2 linked regions of the Neodiprion lecontei genome follow. The protein of the gene in region 1 binds, or shares a complex with, the protein of each later gene. Links are inferred from orthologs where the notes say so. Each region holds a gene or a part of one and is shown on either strand. Other genes may lie near its edges.

The links.
Region 2: glutamyl-tRNA(Gln) amidotransferase subunit B, mitochondrial (region 1) and glutamyl-tRNA(Gln) amidotransferase subunit A, mitochondrial share a complex: the UniProt entries of both Homo sapiens proteins name them as parts of the heterotrimeric GatCAB amidotransferase (AdT) complex. The link is inferred for Neodiprion lecontei from reciprocal best matches to the Homo sapiens genes GATB and QRSL1.

The regions. Positions count from the first base shown.
Region 1 is NC_060261.1:6,984,462-6,992,232, forward strand, and holds glutamyl-tRNA(Gln) amidotransferase subunit B, mitochondrial, read left to right. Parts: upstream 1-1,892; 5' UTR 1,893-2,298; coding exon 2,299-2,510; intron 2,511-2,765; coding exon 2,766-2,913; intron 2,914-3,002; coding exon 3,003-3,116; intron 3,117-3,302; coding exon 3,303-3,475; intron 3,476-4,176; coding exon 4,177-4,325; intron 4,326-4,395; coding exon 4,396-4,631; intron 4,632-5,177; coding exon 5,178-5,366; intron 5,367-5,720; coding exon 5,721-5,857; exon of another isoform or gene 5,858-5,870; intron 5,871-5,930; coding exon 5,931-6,054; intron 6,055-6,156; coding exon 6,157-6,375; 3' UTR 6,376-7,258; downstream 7,259-7,771. Other genes in the region: protein lin-7 homolog C, read left to right, coding at 110-146, 440-481, 662-774, 987-1,232, 1,359-1,523. UniProt on the Homo sapiens protein: Allows the formation of correctly charged Gln-tRNA(Gln) through the transamidation of misacylated Glu-tRNA(Gln) in the mitochondria. The reaction takes place in the presence of glutamine and ATP through an activated gamma-phospho-Glu-tRNA(Gln).
Region 2 is NC_060261.1:38,345,307-38,349,118, forward strand, and holds glutamyl-tRNA(Gln) amidotransferase subunit A, mitochondrial, read right to left. Parts: upstream 2,218-3,812; 5' UTR 2,118-2,217; coding exon 552-2,117; 3' UTR 503-551; downstream 1-502. UniProt on the Homo sapiens protein: Allows the formation of correctly charged Gln-tRNA(Gln) through the transamidation of misacylated Glu-tRNA(Gln) in the mitochondria. The reaction takes place in the presence of glutamine and ATP through an activated gamma-phospho-Glu-tRNA(Gln).

The DNA of each region.
Region 1 (7,771 bases):
AGCGAGAACATTGTTGGTGAAAGTTGAGAAAAAAATACTGAGTGATCATTGCGGAGAACAAAGATAGTAATTATCATATTAGAAATATTTGTACTCTCGCTTAACAGCCATGGCAACGATTGGGGAACCTCTCACATTAGCCAGGGGTAAGTTAACTTATTGCTCTTGTTTACTCAGTTTGGAGTACTGTCAGTTCGTCGTGCAAACGCCGGATAGTTTTCAATTCGTAGATACGCTTCTGGGTGTGATTAGTAATTAGATTGATCATGTAACTAAATTCATTGAATAAGTAATTGCAGAATAAGAAATGTATAATTTGGTACTTCAATTCATTCAATTGTCTGTATGTCTGTAGTATCATCTAATTATTAGTTACTAGAATGGACATTCACTATTTTTTCATTCTGGTACTCGCTTATGTTTATTTGTGTTTTTATAGATGTCAAAAGATCGATCGAACTCCTCGACAAACTACAGAAAAGTAAGTTGATGATTGAAATTTTTTTTAAATTACCTACATCCTTACCAAAACAAATATTTGTTAGATTATTACAAATTAAAATGGTTTGTATAAAGTTTTCATAAATAACATCATCGAGTAATGTATTTATATTGCAATTAAGTTTATCTTGAATATTTGATTGATACTGACTTATTTTAGGTGGTGAAGTACCGGCTACAAAGTTAGCAGCTCTGCAGAAGGTACTACAAAGCGACTTTCTCAATGCAGTAAGAGAAGTCTATGAACACGTGTATGAGACTGTTGATATTCAGGTAATACTAAGTATAAGCAATTATACCTTTTTCATAAAATAATCAATCTTTCTCTGACGCCAAAGTTTTGGAGAACATTCAAACGATTCGTAACATATACTTTAATTGGTGCCTGGCATACGCCATTCATGAGTTTTTGAGACTTTGAGTTTATTAGAACTATCCTGTTTAAAACCACTCTAATATAAGAGTATGTGGAATTTTTGGTACAGGGTTCTCAAGATGTGCGTGCTTCCGCCACAGCCAAGGCGACTGTGGCTGCTTTTGCGGCAAGTGAAGGACATGCCCATCCGCGAGTTGTTGAATTACCGAAAACAGAGGAGGGTCTTGGATTCAATGTGATGGGAGGAAAAGAGCAAAATTCACCTGTATATATATCTCGAATTATTCCAGGAGGTGTGGCCGACAGACATGGTGGTTTGAAACGTGGTGACCAGTTACTGTCTGTTAATGGCGTGGTACGTAATGTGAAATTTTTACATTGATGAAATATTAAGATTTAATCATACTCGAACGTTGCCATTCAAGAATTTATACGATGATACAGGATAGTGTAAATATTGTATTTTTCTCATTTCCTCTAGTGTATTGAAGGCGAAAATCATGAGACAGCTGTGGAATCGCTGAAACAAGCCCAAAACTCGGTGAAGTTAGTTGTTCGCTATACTCCTCGTCTTTTGGAGGAAATGGAATTGCGGTTTGATAAACATGCGCACCAAACTGCACGTAGGCGTCAACGTGTGCAGTAGACTGCAATGATTATTTTTATCACTACATATATATAGAATTTATGAATAACTGATATAGATACAATGTAATGTTACTTATATTAATTATTATAGTTTTAAGCGACAAATTAATATCTGGCTTAATTATCTTGTAATTCATCACCTAGAAATAACTTCTGTATGACCATCTCTCGTAAGAACATTATCAGTATTCATTAATGAACCGTTTAAAACCGATCCACAATATAATTAAACCCAATCATAAGTGTACGGGCAAATCCTCTAAACTTTAATTTCTTTTTAAACATATAAGTTTGAAGGAAATTCCAAGAGTGGACTCGTCTTGAAAAACCAAGCACTTTGTAATTGTCTTAAGCAATATTACACGCATCATTACTAAGCTTTCATAATTTCCCATAGTATCCAAATCTCAGAAGTGACATTCAAGCAACGAAAAAATTCATCCGTTTATCCTCAGTCATTGATTCTACGATGTCCTACATGTCTTGTTTGGCTTCCCTAGGGTTCGATTAGTCTGAACAGGGTCCATTGAATTAATTCTCGGATATAAAAATATTATGCTTCTAAACACGCGAAAAGATCTTAACTCTGATATACGTCGATGTAATTTTGCGAGTGGAATCGATTGCACGCGTCTAGGGTCGCTGCGAACAACGTATATTAGCGCTGCACGAAGCGCACGTGTTCAATATAGGTATAGGTCCATCTAGATAGAATTTAGTGGTCGTCAGCTGTGACAATCCGTATCACACCTAATTGTGGGGCGAGGTTATGTATGCGTGTATGTACGTACAATACATACGACACAGCCAACGCGAGCGACGGAGAGCCTGTAAAAATAGTGAAAATTTATTTGAAATATCCAATGAATTACACGAACTGTTGGAAAATTAACCCTTGCATCAAACGATGGCGCGAAAACAAGCCTTATCTCCGGATGTTGAAACATTGTTTTGGTACAGAAGCCAAGTCTCGAGCTGAAACAAAGTAACAACAAGCAAGATTTATAAAATTATTTAAATTCTTTCTACTTAACTGGGGGACATGCGTGTCATTTTTGAAACTTACTTTAAAGTGGTACAAAATCGATTTCATAAGGATTAACAAATACCTCCATAAAAGTGTAGTATCCATGTGAAAAAAAATCAATTTTCTATGGTGTCAATGAACACATCAGGAACGTTTTGAAAAATTTCCATTAGCTCGTTTCGAAATACTCCTTGATGCCAATAAATGTTTTAGGAAAAAATGGCGCAGTGTCGTTGGACTCGAAATTCACGCCCAAATTCAATCGAATTCAAAGTTATTTTCTGGTTCAAGCACCATGTATGGTTCCCCGATAAACAGTAACGTTTCATTCTTTGATTGTGCTACACCGGGAACACTACCTGTAAGGATAATCACTGATGAGTAAAGTTTCGTACTGCATCTGCTTTTTGCAGGTGAATTGCTTTATGAATTTGATATTATGATTTTTAGGTACTGAATAAAAGATGCGTCGAAGCAGGAATACTAACTGCTCTGGCGCTATCCTGCAAAGTAAACGAAGTATCATTGTTTGATAGAAAACATTATTTCTATGCAGATTTGCCAGTAAGTTGACTAGAAAGTAATTCAAATTTTGAACTTTATAAAACCCACTGTTTGAATATGGCGAACTTCATTTTTAAATTTGATGCAATTACTGTATGAGCTGTGGTTGGGCATATTGTCACGACGAGTTAATCTTCTAGACAGGTAGTATTAAATTGCTTGAGGCTAAATGATACATATTTACAGGCAGGATATCAAATAACTCAGCAACGTCAAGCCTTGGCTATAGATGGAGAACTCAATTTCCAAGTATATACACCGGGTATTCATCCACGACCCTACAGCAAAGTTTCTAAAATCAAGCAGCTGCAACTGGAACAAGATAGTGGCAAAAGCTTACACGATTTAATAGCAAAAAGGTGCTGTCAGAGATTCAATACCTATTTGCTGTAACTGTTGCTACAATTAAATTACTCTTAATTATTGTGGATATTTTGTTCGCTGGTAGACCTGTTGCTGAAGTAAAACAATCACTGACTTATATAAATATTCTCGTAATGCGTTCGGATTGTACATCATTTTAATATAGGTAAAACAAACCTCCTAACTCATCTATACAAATTTGGAGAAAAATTGTTTCCTGCTTATGCCAAAAGTATTGTCAAGTATTAATTATGTATGTCTTCACCGATTTATCTGCAATTTTCGCTTTCTCACTATACCATGTACGAAGAGTTTGGAAACCAAGTGCTAGCCATTATTATATATTGATTCCATTTCGTGAAGCGCACGAGTTTAAGCTGTTTCAGATCAATCTGTGTCTTACACAAAGCACTGCAGAGTACATTTCTAATTTTCATGTGTGTGAAATTTCTGTAAAAATTCTAAAAATCTATACCTACGTGAAGTCTTGAATGTCCTTGTTATATTTGCCCTGGCTTAAACAAAACTTGAGAACTCAAAATCGTTACCTTCTGAAGTTTAGCTTTAATTTCGATTATGCCTTACACTTTTGGGTCAAATACTTAAATTCTTTACTTTGTCTCAGACCATTATCAACTTGAAAGATATTAACAGACACTTACGGATTGAATTTTTATTTTATGATCAACAATAACAGAAGTTTGGTCGATCTTAATCGAGCAGGGATACCACTGATGGAATTGGTATTCGAGCCGGACTTATCAGATGGCGAAGAGGCTGCTGCGCTAGTCAAAGAGATCGTACTCATTCTGAAAAGATTGGGGACGTGCTCCTGTAAAATGGAAGGTAAAGTGGTATGAAAAAAAAGATTAACAACAAAGAAGTATGGCCATTACGCATAATGATCTGAATTCAGAGGGCGCCCTTCGAGTTGACGCCAATATCTCTGTGAATCGACCAGGGGAAAAATTGGGCACGCGAACAGAAGTCAAGAACATTGGAAGTATTAGGTCAGTGGCAGCTGCTGTAAAGTTTGAAATTGACAGACAGATTACAGAAATTGAGAATGGTGGTACAATTATTAATGAAACAAGGTCATGGGACACGGAAATTCGCAAAACAGTTCCAATGCGAGATAAAGAAGAAAAGCAGGTATAGAATGCATACTTTGAAAATATGGTATTTCTGTAAGAGTGTGTTGCGCAATTCTATTATAGCGGTTGACAATCTTGTCACATTTAAGTGACATGGCGATTCCGTTTTTTACTGAGAAGTCTTTCAACTTTTTACAAAATCTTCGTTTACTGTTGCAAACAGACTGTCAGAATTCCATTCATATGTGACGCTATTGTTAATAAGCTACTTTCAAAGACCTTTATACATTACGAATTGTAAACACAGCTCCTGGTTTGTAGTATAATAATCGCAGTATTGGTGGCACTTTACCTTTATTGTATTTTTGATGTTCTCTGGTGATTTTTCAATCAGAGTACTTTCCTCATACAAGTTTGAATTCATATTAATTTCTGTACATAAACCTTAAAATCTTTACGGTGCCTTCAACTAGAAAGTTTAATTTGAATTTCTAGTTTACTTATAGGCATACTATATCAGATCACATTTGTGTGGTGCAGTTCTGAAGGATAGAATAAGATTCTTTATAAATTCATGTAAAAAAAAATTTAAGTCACATTACAGGATTATCGTTTTATGCCAGAACCAAATCTTCCGCCATTGCACGTACACGTCACTAAAGAAATAAAAAATAAGTATGGATTGGTTGATGTTCCACTTCTGCAAGAAAGCCTTCCCGAGCTTCCAGAGGAAACACGATATAATCTTAAAAATAATTTTGGACTCGACTCAACTGCCGCCATTATACTTACTGTGAGTTTGTATTATTAAAGAAAATTCCAATTATTCCACCAAATATTCAAAAGTAAACGATTTCTGTTCCTTGAATTTTAGTTTAATTATAATCGAATTCGTATATATTGGACAGCGATGTGTACAAAAAAGCACACGGCCAGTGAATGGTTAAAGATATTGCCACACTGAACCAAATTCATTTACATTTCAATTGCTGTTATGCGATATAAAGTAAAAGAGAATCCCTAGGATACAAAGGCAATGCTAGTGGTCATCGTTGTCGTCAACTAATAGCTTCTCAACCCCTTTTGGTGGAAACCTTATGAATTATTTATCCGTGAATACATTGATGCAAATATGAAACTTTTTCAGAATGAAAACAATTTGCTGAATATCTTCGAAGCTGTTGTCAAAGAAGACAGTAAACGAAAACCCAAGCTTGTATCAAACATATTGATCAACCAGTTGCTAACAGTGGTTAACAGAAAAGCATTAGAACTGGATACTTGGTATGGAAACACGGTAAAACTATTACTACATGAAATAATAATAAATTCTTTCATCAACTAATTTATCTTCTAGTATTTTGAATGCGCAACATATTGGTGAATTGGTGGACATGCTACAAAACAAAACAATCAATTTAACTACTGCCGAAAACGTACTGGAAGAGTACATAACTGAATCGTCGATGACTCCTAAACAAGTAAATTTCGTTTCAGTGTAGCCATACATAGACAGATTGTATACATGGGTGGATATGTATGTAAAATTTTACTTTTCTTTAATGTATGTTATTTGTTTGTAGATTGTTGAGAAAAATAATTGGACTCAGATCACAGATGAACATCAATTAACTCAAATATGCAAAAATATACTGCTGCAGCGAGCTGATGTTGTAAAAAAGTATAAAGCTGGAAAGACAAAAGTTTTCAGAGCTCTGGTGGGTGCTGTAGCCCAGGAAACTAAAAATCGTGCTGATATGGCCACTGTTGTAAATATATTGAAAAAACTGTTAGATGAATGAGACATTGTTAGTTGAATTTTTCTTGTCGTTACTGAATTTTACATCTTCTTAAACAACGTTTCAAATAAAATAATTACTCTGCTATGCAGGAAAAGTCGTAAGAATTTATTCATTGATTTATTTTAATAAAAAACGAGAGAGAGTGACTGAATATGAGAATGTAGTTTTCACATGTTATCTAAATGAGAAATACACGGGGAGACATGTGAATTGAGAGAGCGACCTTCGTTTCTTGACCTTAGGCCTTATATTTGTGGATAGTCCTTTTGGGAAACACTGAATTTTAAGAGGAGCAGCCGTTCAAAAATTTTAAACTGTTCTTTTTTAATGCCCTATTGAACAAGCAAGAATATATCGAACATTTTATCCTATTAAATTCCTCGACTAAGAAACAGTATCCGTGAGGAATAATTTGGAGAATTAGAAGACGAATATGGAAGCAATATTGATTTCTATTGCAATATATTTAAGTAGTGTTCACGTTAGAAACATCGGAAATATAAAAGACATGTTGAAATTTTAATTGCATTATTCATTAGAAGTACAAAATCATGTAGGAAATAAATATATGTTTGTGGTACATTGTGGTAATTTTGGAGACTAGAAAATTCAGTCTCCCTGCGTAGTTATATTGTTGCTCGCAAAACGTTCGTGTGTAGTTTTAATAGTTGAAGTAGTAAAACGAAACAAAATATGTACAGATGGGTGGGACAGGATTGTCTGTCCATATTTCCACAAAACATGTCTGGGAGCTGTGTGCTAAAATTACACAAGATTTGGTAAATTGTAAGCAGATAATCATTTTCATTAAATCACAACAGTCCTGAAAGTACTTCTGAATAAGCACAACAATACACAACAAATCGCAGGTTAATCAAATAATCGTAATATGACAAAAAGGATTTCATTCCGAATCCTGCGATTGCCATGCCTGTTACTTTTTTCTTTTTAAATATGAGTCACTAGTCATCATCATTGGGAATTGGATTGCATTTGATTTCAGTTGGTTCAACTACTGTCAAGATTTAATCATAAGCTTTGCTCTGGTAAGACGTTTGATTTTTTCACTTAATCAAGAATAGTATTTACCAGTATCTGTGTATTAAGATCAAGTGCAATTACCTGCAATCAAATAAATAAATATGTAGATATTCGCATTACCATTAAATAAACACTAATCACTGTGCTAGTTGGAAACAGGATTTACTTTTTTTTTAAATAAACCATGTATACTGATTTACGCAAGCGTCGCATATCCGAAGCATTTATATATAATAGTCATTGAAAATTGTGAAATCTTGACAAATGATATATCTGCATACAGTAAACTCTGTTATTATTTTTTTTTATAAAGGCTATACAGTTATGGACTCAAGTTATGCTGCTTCGAATTTAC
Region 2 (3,812 bases), about 31 Mb from region 1:
GTCTGGATCAATTCGCCTGATCTTTACCTCAACGACTGGAATAATGAAGCATAAGAACTTCACTCAATCGATAATGAACACTGCCTTAGGCTATTTCCTTGATTCACGAAAAACTGACTGCATGTATCTACGGAATTATTTTTCGAGCACGCTACCAGTTTGCGGAATATTTTTCAAATATCTAGATACATGTTACTTTTCAGCATGTATGAATTCGACGATATTCCAATGAGCCTCGAATTTTACTCTCGAATTAATATTCTATGCATTACAATCAAGATGAATCAGATTGGCATAGACCTATACCGATTGTACTGCTAAAGATAAAAGATACGCGAATCAGTTATCTGTTCTCTTTGAAAACGTTGCTTATAAGTATCGGACAAAATTTTCTTCTGAAATTCTTCAGTTTAATCACAAATATAAATGCAAAATTAGTTATAGTAGTAACTCCAACTAATTGTAAGTTCCAAAATTGCCTGTATGATTGCTGTAATATTCATAACAAGATAAATAAATAGATTTATTTACAGTCGAGTGATTCATTATTTTTACATCAGTAAGCTTGAATCTTTTAATACAATTTCTGGAAACTGTAGAACTTGTTCGATCCACTTGGCAGTAGTGAGCATCTGTTGTTCGTGAAGAACTGGAGCCATAAGTTGCAAAGAAAGGGGAAGCCCGTTGCTAGACAGCCTTACAGGAAAACTGACAGCGGGAACTCCTGCCATGTTTGCAGGTTGCGTGCAGACATCCTGGATCGAGCACTGAGTTTGATTATCCATGGAGATGAATTCCCGATACCTTGGGGCATCGGTAAGTGTAGTGGGAGTGAGCAGCAAGTCGATATCAGAGTTCCAGACTTTTTCAAAGTCCTCGTAAATCAACCTGCGCACTTTCATGGCCCTGACAAAATAGTTTTCGTAATTTTCAGCCAATAAGAAGTAATTTCCCGTCAAAATCCTGCTCCTCACTACTTCGTTAAACCCTTTGCACCTCGTCTCGGCATAAAGTTGCTCCGTAGACTCGTTCTGGTCTACCCTAAGTCCGAATTCAATTCCATCGTAACGAGCCATGTTGCTCGCAACCTCGCATTGATTTAGAACTGAGTAACAAACAATAGAGTGCTCCGTGTGGGGCATAGATACAGGAACTATTTTTGCTCCCCCTTCTTCCAAGTGCTTAGATACATCTAGCAAGCATTTTTCAACTTCCACGTTCAGCCCTGGTGGCTTGTACTGCTTTGGGATTCCTATCCTCAGGCCGTCTACGCTTGGACATTCCGGCAATTCGATTGGGGTGAATTCCTTCTTTAGCATCGTCGAGTCAAAATCGTCGGGCCCAGCAATGGCGTTCAGCACCAGAACCGCGTCATCTATTTTTCTAGTAATTATTCCAGGCACATCCATCGAATTCACAAGTGGAATCAAACCGTGACGAGACACCAAGCCATAGGTTGGTTTGAGGCCAACAAGCCCACAGTAGGATGCTGGATTTCGAGTCGAGCCTCCAGTGTCTGAACCTAGAGCGGCGTAACAGGACCCTGTGGCAACGGCGATGGCTGAACCTCCGCTACTCCCCCCAGCGATGTGCCAATTGTCTGGAACATCGCTGGTTTCCTTGTTGCTTGTTTCTGACTCGGAGGAAGGGTGACAAAAGTAATTGTTCATAAAGGTCGATTTCCACAAATTTTTTGTCGGCCCAAAATACGAGTCTATTGTCCCTGAGCCCATGGCGAACTGATCGAGATTAGTCTTACCGATCAAAACTGCTCCAACATTCTTTAAACGGCTATATACCGTAGCGTCATATTCAGGAACAAAATTAGCCAGCATCAAAGATGCGCAGGTCGTTGCTGTGCCACTTGTACAAAAGTTATCCTTGATCGCTATTGGAATTCCATCGAGGGTTCCTAGAGGCTGACTTTCGGCGTATCTAGCATCTGATTCCTGTGCCTGCAACTCTGCCGATCCTCCGGTCACACAAATATACGCGTTTAGCGGCTTTGACGCATTTGCCAGCTTCACCGCGGCTCTGCAAATCTCGGATGGCTTCAATTCGCCGGCATTCAGTTTGTTACTCACTTGTTTTATCGGTCGTGACAGTATCTTATTCATTGTCTCAGTTTGTTTGTTACTTGTCAGGATTAAGATTGTGTATTACATAACCTCAACTTTTAAACAACCCCGGCATCTCGTGATTAACCACGCTTTCAACAATTCGATATTCGATTCATGAATTTTTTAAATCACGCGTATGATTGCTACACGGGTAATCTAAAATTAGGCGTACGAGGCACGCGTTACACGCGCGAAATTCAAAGTGAGAAAACTACGTTGGATCAATGATGTGTAGTAGGAAAACGAAGAACGTTGAATGTAGAATTAGAATTCGATTTATTTATTTGTCTACCTTTAGTCATGGAAAGCGTGAATATTTTCGACAAATAGACCAATCTCGACTATATCGAACACTAGCTCACATGTCATGGAAAAGAATTTCAGCGTAAACAATAAAGTATTTGGTTCCGGTCTACTGACAATGAGTCTATACGAGAATTTGACGGTGATACTTTAGATGTAACAATAGATAAACTTTAATTCATACATGTATTACATGCAAAGCTGTTACCGTTTGAAGCGACCGGCGCTTTTGCGCGATTGCCTTGCGATATTTCAGAATACATATCTAAATCTATGTCTAATACGAACTTTCTATACAATAATATACACGAATCTCTTCCTCGAACAATATGAAACAAATTTCTAAGGGCACGGAATTTTTCTTCAATATGCTTATACATTTATAGTATTATCGAAAACATACCCATCGAAAGTGAACGCAGATATTGCGCCGGTTTTACGTTAAATTCATCAGCTGCTTGAAGAGTTCTAGATTAGAAAAAGTATTCCTTGAACATACGGAAAATGTTATCACTCGCATATGTCAAATTCAAAAATTACTCCTATACGTTAAATCAAACCTAAAGTGTTCGCGTTCCTCAGTTCTCGACTTTTTATGTTACTACCATGGATATTCCGATACGAAATCACGAACCGAGCTGCTATTACTATATCGCGAATCTATCTTGAAATGTAAATTTTTCCTAAGATAGATTTAATTCATCCATGTACTAGTCAATTTACGAATTGCTTTCACATTACTAGCTATATGACATTCGTTATAACATGAAGTTCGGAAAACTGCTACTATTTTACGACTTAGAACGTATTATTCAATAGTGTACACAATGTAAAAGACTAGACTGAAAGTCATAAAAGAATCGCCACAATATCTCCTCTAAATAAACGCATCATTGTTTTCTACAGTCGGTTATAGTTCAACGAGCTTGACTATCTCCCGTGTTCATAAAATAATCTCATAAAATATAATTCGCGCAGATCAACGGTAACTGTGCCAATGTTAAGTTTAGCGGACAATATACATATTTTGTGCTCAATAATGTAAAGCTGACTTAAAACTCAGTATTATATCTTGATGATCATTTCAAGCTGTATTCGAAAAATACTAACCCTAGATAAATTCGGTTGTTATATATGTATGAATCAATAATCCCTCCAATATTCATACTAGCAATAGTAATTTGTTTGAATGATTATTCAAATAAGAAGTTGTCATATTGAACCCCAGCTGTCATCCGTTTCCTACGCCTTCCGACATACCTCAAATGAACAGAAGCGGTCCATCTAAATGGTTTAATTTTAAACCTTTGCTATTTTTTTCACATTTAACACGATTTCGATCTTTAACATACAAGTAAATCACGATATTTTCACCTGCAAACATCAGAT